Linked DNA regions of Ovis aries. The protein of the gene in region 1 interacts with the protein of each later gene in a biochemical or structural test. Links are inferred from orthologs where the notes say so. Each region holds a gene or a part of one and is shown on either strand. Other genes may lie near its edges.

Region 1 (4,232 bases):
ATAGATTTTTTTTATTACAACTTTTCATTTTCTTTGCATTTCTAATAACAAGTCTAAGGACATAAAAGTTTATTGACTTTGGCATCAGACAGACCTGGGTTAAAATGGGGGCTCCCACCACTTACTAGCTTTTTGAGAACAAATTATCTAATAGAGAACAAATTATCTAATCTCTCCTCTGAGTCTCAGTTACTCTGTAAAACAGGTAACATCCTCATGAAGCTTGGCTGTAAGGATTACAAAATCACACATGTGAAGCACAGGACCTAGCACATAAGTATTCAATACAGATTAATTATGAATTTGGGCTAATTACCCATCCTAATTTGCATGGGACAACCCTGGTTTCCACCTGTTGTCCAGGAAAATAATGTTCCTTTTTCTCTTAAAAGCATCCTAGCTAGGGCAATAAATTATGTGGTTACCTTAACAACGATGATGAAAGAGGTTGATATCAATTAGAGTATTATATATTATGACTTTTCGGATCTTGAAGCAAAAATATCAAATGTCACACAAAATAACTTGAGATTAGATTCCTGTAATATAGTCTACTGTTAGTTCATTTAGTTATTCAATAAACATTTAAATACTATTTATTTATACTCATCCCATTCCAACAGTGATTAAAGGAAGCAAATTTCTATTTTGTTCTTTCCATTCTATACAGGTACTGGTAAATTTCAGACATTATTTTAAAAGAAGAAAATTGACAGAGCACTAATGAGGTTCCAGCTACTGAGAAACACTACCCTTTGAATTCCCAGTGAAAAACACCCATTCTGACCATTAAGAATGCCCGACACCAACTAACATATATCAAAGAAGCCCATTTTATTACAGGGACCCCAAAACAGAATAAATATTTTAAAACATGCATTCTACACATAAATCATCAGGAGACGCAACAAAAAATAAAATTACCTGACTGTTATGACATAGTATTGTATACAATAAACTGGATTTTAGTTTTCTTCACTCTCTGCTCTAGAAAAAAAAAGAATCCATTATTCTTCCTCTTTTATAAGATAAGACATTTTCTTTGAAACAGACACATCCTAAAAATTACATATCCTATGTATTTTAGATACACACCCACCATAATTCAACCTAATTCCACATTAGTATTAGGATATTTGGGGAGACTAAGAAGGTCAGAGGGAACCAACAATCTTATATGTTAGATAGAAGATATCTTTTAAAGGCTAACAGCCCATCTACCTTTTAATATAAACTTACTTAAAATGGGCTTTTACGCATCAGATCAGTAATTATTTTCAGATTCTCACAGTTACTTTCAAGAACTTATTTGGTACGTTACACTAGCCTAAGGCAGGAACTAAAGTATGAAAAATCATCAGGACATCTTAGGCTAAAGAAAAACACTTTTTCAGTAAGAGAAGAGTATTACAATAAAATTTTAAAAATATTTAGATTGGTCTTCCTGGGCATTTTATTTCTACAACTTAGAAAACTGATTCTGGGGCAGCGATAACTGTGCCAGCCTGCTCACAAGTCATCCAGGACGGACATAATGTACCTGATGGGGTGATAAGTGTATTTTGTCTTCAATAATGACAAGAATTCAAAAAAAAATGATTAGTAGTAGTTTATTTCTTCCTCCTTTCAATCATCCAAAGCCACTGCGGTTAATTCTGATTCAGGAAATGCGGGCTCCTTATTTCCAGCAAAAAAATAATTATTGTGGGGCCTTGCTAAGCCTGAATGACAACCTAATATAAATGCTTCCTCTTTCTGCAAAACGAAAGAACGACCTAAATAGACAAGCCTGCTAGGCCTCAGATTCCCGGACTAACCTGTGGAATAAGTATGGTGAAACTGTCTAGGGAAGGAACGTGGCTGTCTCCTCCATCTTGAAATTAATCAGCATAAGGGAAAAAGGGACGGAGTATTCAGGAAGCAGAAGCCCAACCGGTTAATACTAGTTACTAAAGCTATGGCGTACGTGGCAGGTACCGCCCGCAGAAGCCGAGACCCTTAGGCATTTTTGAGGGGGGAGGGGTTGGGTTGTGCACGGATTGAACGGAAATTAACTTCAAAATCATTTGGCCCAATTCCCACCCTCAGCCAGGGAAAAACAACAAACACGCAACGGCTTTTCCCTCCCTTTTGGGGGGAATCCGTGCAGTGGTATCCGGCAAAGGATACGCCAGGGTTATTCAAGCAAAGGAGTAAACCACATTTGTCTTAGATCCTCCGGGAAGATGTCATCGTGGCCTCAGGGGGCGCCTAATTGATAGTGCCCTGCAGAAGCAGAAGGCTCAAAATGGGGTTTTGCAAATCCTGGGAAATCTAAAGGCCCAAGAGTTCCCAGCATCTAACTTAGAGCAGCCTGATTTTTTTCCCCATTTCCTAAACCCAAGCCCGCCATGTAAAAGAGAGGGGGAGGAGGAGGAGGCGAAGGAAGTCTCCAGGGAGGAGAGGAAAACCTAAGACGATCAAAGATTCTCATGCCTGAGGCCAACATTCGAAAATCGCCTCCCCCAAATTCTTAAGGTTCTGGAGGGCCCCAGCTGCGGCTCGCGCGGCCACGGAGAGGAAGTACTACCTACCTCCTTCCCCTTCTTCAAAAAGCCTGTCGACTATACACCCAGCTAAAATGGCAGCGGAGATTACGCCACGGAGCCCCCCGCAGCAACCGGTGCCTGGGGTCCGGAGGCGGCGATGAGCCTCCGCCACGATGCACCAGTCAGGCCATTTTGAGAGAAAGCAGCAGATGGGGCTTCGCTGTCTTCCTCTCGCTCTCCATCCATTTCCCAAGGCTTCACTTACTCGGTTTTGGTGTCGGGATCCGACTCGGTCGGTTCGGCCGCCGCCGCCGCCGCCGCCGCCACCGCCGCCGGGGCTCCTGCGCGCCTCCCCTGCCGCAGCTCTCAAGCCCGCCTCCGATGAGTCGCTGGTCGAGACCCGCCTCTAGCCCAGCGCCTGCTCGGAGACGTTGCTCAGGCAGCCATTATCTTCCCCATTGTTACCAAGCAGCGACAGGAAATGCCTGCCCACAACAGGAAGTGATGATGCCGTGTCCTGGCCCCGCAGCCGCAGCCGATTATCCAGTCCCAGCCGATTATCCAATCCCAAGCGATTCCTTGAAAAACCCTCGGTGAGAGGAGGAGGTGGCCGGCTGACGACGCGGCAGGGCGGGCCGCGGCCTGGAAAAGGAAAGCTGCTGTGCCGCCCACCATGTGACAGGCCCCACCCTCCTCCGCCATTTTGAATTGTGGCGAGAAATTCTGAGAGCTGTGAGAACCTTTCCCATTTTGAAATCTGGAGGACGTCACCGAATGACTGCTGGAAGCCCTTTTCAGAGAGTGAGAAACGCGATATTAGTCTAACCTGACGTCGATTCACACAGTCAGGACCGGCTAATACAGCATCCTACTTTTATTCGAATACATTTATCGAATGCCAACTGTAGGTGTCAGACACTAGTATAGATGTTGGGGATACAGCGCAAATTAAAGCAGACCAAAATCCCAGTTGTTGTGTATCTTTATATTCTTGGGGGGGAGGGACAGTAGATATATATATATATATATATATATATATATATATATATATATATAGTACATAAAATTAATGATAAATGCTAGGGAGAAAAATAAGGCGAGGGAAGGTGGGTGGGAGAGAGCCCGGTGGCGGCAAATGGGAATTGCAGTTTTAAAAAGAGTGGTCCGAGGTGGCCTCTCTCAGACGGTAATTCTGAAATTCCTGAGAAGGGGCGGTGTTTGTAAAAGGGTGGGAAAATCTGATAGCGTTAGAATTTAAGGGCGGTTAAGGAAGGCCTTTCTTAGATAGTAATGCATGAAAGAAGGTACAGTACGAGCTAGCAAGCAACAACTCTCGTTTTCACAGTTAAGAAAAACAACACATGGGCTTCCCTTGTAGCTCAGTCGGTAAATAATCTTTCTGCAATGCAGGAGACCTGGGTCGATTCCTGGGTCAGGAAGATCCTCTGGAGAAGGAAATTGCAATCCAATATAGTATCCTTGCCTGGAAAATCCCACAGACAGAGGAGCCTGGCGGGCTACAGTCCACGGGGTCCCAAGAGTCAGACACGACTTAGCGACTAAACCACCACCACCAAGGAAGGCCTTTCTTAGTAATGCGTGAAAGAAGGTACAGTATGAGCTACCAAGCAACAACTCTCGTTTTCACAGTTAAGAAAAACAACCACAGTTTTAGGGTGTTATCTCGTTTCTTTTCTCATTTTT
Region 2 (4,509 bases), on another chromosome or scaffold:
GGCATGTCTGGTGGTGAGGTGATGGGGCAGAGAAAGGGCTGCCAAGAAAATCCGGAGACCCCACGCTTCTCAGCTCCCACACAGCCCAGTCCTGCCCCTCCTAGCCAGCCCAACTGCACAGTGCCGAGAGCCCTGGGTCGGGTCTCCTGCCCGAACTGCACTCCCCAAGGGCCATTCGGTCACAAGGACGTTGGGAAATAATGGAGGCATTGTTGGCCAGTCGGCCAGATGCCCAGTGCATAGGCCCGCCCGCCCCTTCCCCAGTCAGACCACACATGGCCCCTCTCAGGCAGGCTTCCACAGCAGCTGACACTCAACGGCCGACACCCCTATGCACCCAACACCCGCTCAGCTCCCTGGCCTGGACGCCCTTGTCTTGTCCTGGGGAACAAACGGAGCACAAAGTGAAGGGGCCCCTTAACTTTGCCTGCATGGGGCTTTTGCTCAAACTGAGATGTGGGGTCTGCTCAGAGCTCAGAGGGGACTGTGTTTCTCCTACCCAGGTCCTTCCACACTGGCCTGCAAGTTAAGTGTACAGACCAGGCCACCGGAGGCCAAGCAGAGGCAGGGTGACTATGGGGCATCACTGAGGGCTCCCAGGTGGAACCTCCTGGAGGATGGTACCAACCCCTAGTCCCCCAGCACTTTCTGGAGGCCCCCCTGCTCCTGCCATGCTCTGAACTGCCAGGACCCACAGTGCTGTGGGCTGACTGTGGGTGACGCAGGGGGTTGGCCTGGACTGTGATGGGCACCCTCCGGGGTAGGTGTGTCTTTACGTGCTAGGGTGGTGGGTTCCTGCAAGCTCACCTATTTGGACTGGGGGAGGAGGGCAGAATATGGGGAAACGGGAGCCAGGGCTTCCTCCCGTGCTAGAGGGTGTGGAAGGAAAAGAGTGGATCCCGGCATTCCCAGCTCCGTCCCTCCTGACCTGGAGTCTTGGCTGCATCGTGGAGTCGAGCCGAGGACACTGGGTTCCCTCCGAAGACTCCCCTTGCTTCCCCGCTCCCACTCCTGGGCTGCAGTGCCCAGGATGGGTCCCAGAAGCTGCTCAGAGCAGGAAGGTCTGAGGTCGGGTCCGCTCCTGGCGGCTTCCCTGTGAGCCAGTGGGCGCCACACTCACCCTCTCTGGGTCTTGGGTCTCGCACGTGCCACCAGGCACTGTGACCAAGCCTCCCAGCTCGGAACCTCTCGGCCCCGAGCCTCAGCGGCGGTAGGATCCAGCTCCCTCCCTGACCGGCAGGCTACCCTCCGGCTTTCGCGCCGGAACCCAGGCCTCAGCCCTGAGCCGGCGCCGGGGCAGGAAGCTTCGGGGCCTGGTCAAGCGCTCTCGGGCAGCGCTGACACGGCTCCTCCCCTGCCCGTCCTAATCCCTGGGCCCGGCACTCGGGGCGGTTTCCCCGCACCGCAGTTCTCCCGGCAAAGGCGCGCAGAGTCCGCGGACGCCAGCGGCGCGTCTCCGCGACCCCGGCCCCGCCCCGCCCCGCGGCCCCGCCCCCCCGCCGCTCCGCCTCCGCGCGGCCCGAGGCTCCGGGCCCCTGGGCGGCCCGCGGGCGCAGCGCCCAGCAGCGCCGGGAGTCGTGCAGACGCCGGCCCCGGGCCATTGAGGCCGTAGTCTCGCCGAGCCCCCGGAAAGTTCAGGACCGGAGAGGCTCTGCGGCGGGCGGCGGGACCCATGGAAGCGCGAGGGGAGCTGGTCCCGGGCCGGGAGTCGGCGGGCGGCGACCTGCTGCTGGCGCTGCTGGCGCGGAGAGAAGACCTGCGCCGAGGTGGGTGCCCCGGCCGAGCGGCTGCGCCCGGGAGGGCGGACCTCGTGGAGACTCAGCGGCCCTCGCTCCCTTCCCAGCCCGGCCACGGAGGCGGCGGGAGCCAGGGTGCGTGGGAGGGAATGGGTGCGAGGGCCCCAGCACGGCGCGTCCCTACCTGAGCATCCCAGCAGCGGGCTCGCCTCTGGGCCCCTGGAGCTGTGTCGTCGGGCGTTTCGTCGCGGCGCTGGTGCCGCCCAGGCTGGGGGCCCTCTGGGTCCCAGGACTGGTTTGGAAAATACTCTTCCTTTAGGGAGAGTGTGCAGAGAGCAAACGTGTGTCCCAGTGTCGATGGGGTAGGAGAATCTCCGTGAAGGCTGCCTGCACCCAGACGCGCCACACTTTCCGGGCGAAGTCAGACACAAGGGCCAGCATGGAGCTGGACCCCGGTGGCTGAACTCCCTTAGCTAGGGTCCTGGTGTCTGCGCTCACATGCACCTGCTCCATTGGCAGGGCTGGTCCTCTTGCAGGAAAACCCCCAGCGCCTTGGCTTCCCCGTGAACTGGGATGGTCCTCCACGAGCTTCCAAGCAGGCGGGACCCACAGGATGGGATGGAGCTGGCCCTGGAAGGGTGGGCAGTGGCGGGGTGGGAGCAGGTGGGAAAGGGGTTACATCCAGGCTTTGGGGGTCTCCTCCGTCTCCTACTTCTTTATTTATTTATTTTCCGACGGTTCCTGGGAGGGGTGGCCACGGGAGCTGGGAGGAAGGGGTGGGAGGGCGGAGAGACAGGAAGGGAGGGGCGCGGGCTCTGCGTGAAACGTCTCAAGAGAGCCGGAGGGGATCGGGCCGGCAGGCAAGCGCAAGGCTGTGCTGGGCCCGCCAGCGCCGAGGGTAGGAGACCCCGTCAAGGCTGGAGTCGCCATGCAGCGTAAGGCCCGGGTCGCCAGGGCTTCGCGAGAGCGCGAGGGGCGCGGCGGGAGAGGATTTTGCTCGACGCGGGGCTCCGCGGGTAGCGCGCTCCAGGAGCTGTCCGGGCCGCGGTGCTGAATCCGCGCCGCGCGGGCCTGTGCAGCGACCAGCTCTAAGGCGGGTGTCCTCGCCCGCCGCCCTGCCATTGCCTACCAGGGTTGGAGGGCCAGGGCAGGCAGCAGATCCTCAGGCTCCGCACCCAGGGCCGCGGTTTTGCCCGACGCGGGACCCGGTCCTTCGTGGTGCCCAGGGCTGTAGGAGGGAGGTTGATTCCGTTTCTCTCAGCATGGAGCAAAGGAAGGTCCCTCGCTGGCCCTTTCGCCGGCTGCCAGGCCGGCCTGGGGCTGGAGGGGGTCCACTGTCAGCGAGGTGAGTGTGCTGAGGTGGTGATATATTTGAGTAGGTTCCAGCTCCTGCTCAAGGCTCTCTGCCCTCGGGAGACCTTTTCTAAATTAACAGGTTGTCCTCACGCCCTGAACACCCTGCAAAGCACCCCCATGGACCTGTGGCTCTCAAAGGCAGGCCCTGCATTTTCCCAGCCTGGTTCCCCCCGAGGCCTGCAGTCCCAGGGGAGCAGAACCCGAGTGTCTCTATGGGGAAGGCAAAATACCTACTGTGTGTGCTCAGGCATCCATGTTTGAGCAAGAGGACAGAGCGTCCATACATCCAGTCTATGCACAAGTACTCCCCAGGGCCACCCAAAGACAGGCAGGGCATCAGTATTCATTTTGGTAGCCTGGGGACAGGGCCACGGGGCTGGGCAGCCACACCTGCCACAAGTCTCGGGCTACCATGGCCCCTGACTGTGCGAGGAAAGAGGGCCATTGGGTGGTGGATGCCCCATGGCCCATGTGTGCCGGGCCTCTGGTGATGGTAAGGACCTGGTTTCCAGCCCAGCCTCTGAGACAGCCCCCGGGGGCGAGGGTTTCATTTGAGCTCAAAGTTCGTCCTTCGTGCACTGGAAACGTTTTGCAGTTGAGGGTATCTGCCCCGGGCATGTTTCTAAGCCTAGCTTCAGTTGTCCTGGATTTCCGCTGTGGGCCAGGCACGGACTTCCGAGCCACACTTTCCCTGAACTCAGGGAGCTGGGTGGCCACCCAAGCCAGCCAGGGACGAGGGTGTGCCGGGAAGGGGGCCTCCTGGCAGCCCGGTCCTGGGAGCTGGGTGCGATGGGGAGGCCTCGACTCTGTGCGGCGGCCCTGAGCGCGGTGGCTCCTCCCCGCCTGCAGAGATCCCGCTGTGTGCCGGCTGCGACCAGCACATCCTGGACCGCTTCATCCTCAAGGCTCTGGACCGCCACTGGCACAGCAAGTGCCTCAAGTGCAGTGACTGCCACGCGCCGCTGGCCGAGCGCTGCTTCAGCCGTGGGGAGAGTGTGTACTGCAAGGACGACTTCTTCAAGTGAGCCCGCCAGCTGCCTGGGAGGGAGGGGTGGCGCACCCAGGGGGACCCCCGGGGCCTTTGCGTAACCAAGCCTGGAGCCCTGAAACCACCCCCCGTCTCCACACCCCTCCTGTTCCCCAAACAGGGCACCCCAGGGCCTCTCTGTTGGCGGCTGGGCTGGCCCACTAACAATCTTTTAAAGTAATTAATTTTGTGAATCGTTGAAGCAGTCGTTAAAATGATAATCCCAAGTTCGTAAACCTCTATTGGACGTGCTCCCTCTTTGTGTTGGCCTTGTATTCGTGCTTAATGGTGGGGATGGGGCTCCTACCCGGCAGAGGACTCATGGGTTTGCAGGTCGGCCCGGTGGCCAGGGCCCTGCCCTTCCGAATTCACCTCCCCCATCCGGGCACA

Evidence for each region.
Region 2: the proteins of RLIM (region 1) and LHX3 form a complex in vitro, tested with the Homo sapiens proteins (2 studies listed by BioGRID). The link is inferred for Ovis aries from reciprocal best matches to the Homo sapiens genes RLIM and LHX3.

The regions. Positions count from the first base shown.
Region 1 is NC_056080.1:66,779,804-66,784,035, forward strand, and holds the start of RLIM (E3 ubiquitin-protein ligase RLIM), read right to left. Parts: upstream 3,005-4,232; 5' UTR 2,794-3,004; exon of another isoform or gene 2,574-2,793; intron 2,266-2,573; 5' UTR 1,818-2,265; intron 988-1,817; 5' UTR 925-987; intron 540-924; 5' UTR 426-539; intron 1-425. UniProt on the Homo sapiens protein: E3 ubiquitin-protein ligase.
Region 2 is NC_056056.1:3,245,684-3,250,192, forward strand, and holds the start of LHX3 (LIM/homeobox protein Lhx3), read left to right. Parts: upstream 1-1,608; 5' UTR 1,609-1,672; coding exon 1,673-1,766; intron 1,767-3,941; coding exon 3,942-4,113; intron 4,114-4,509. UniProt on the Homo sapiens protein: Transcription factor.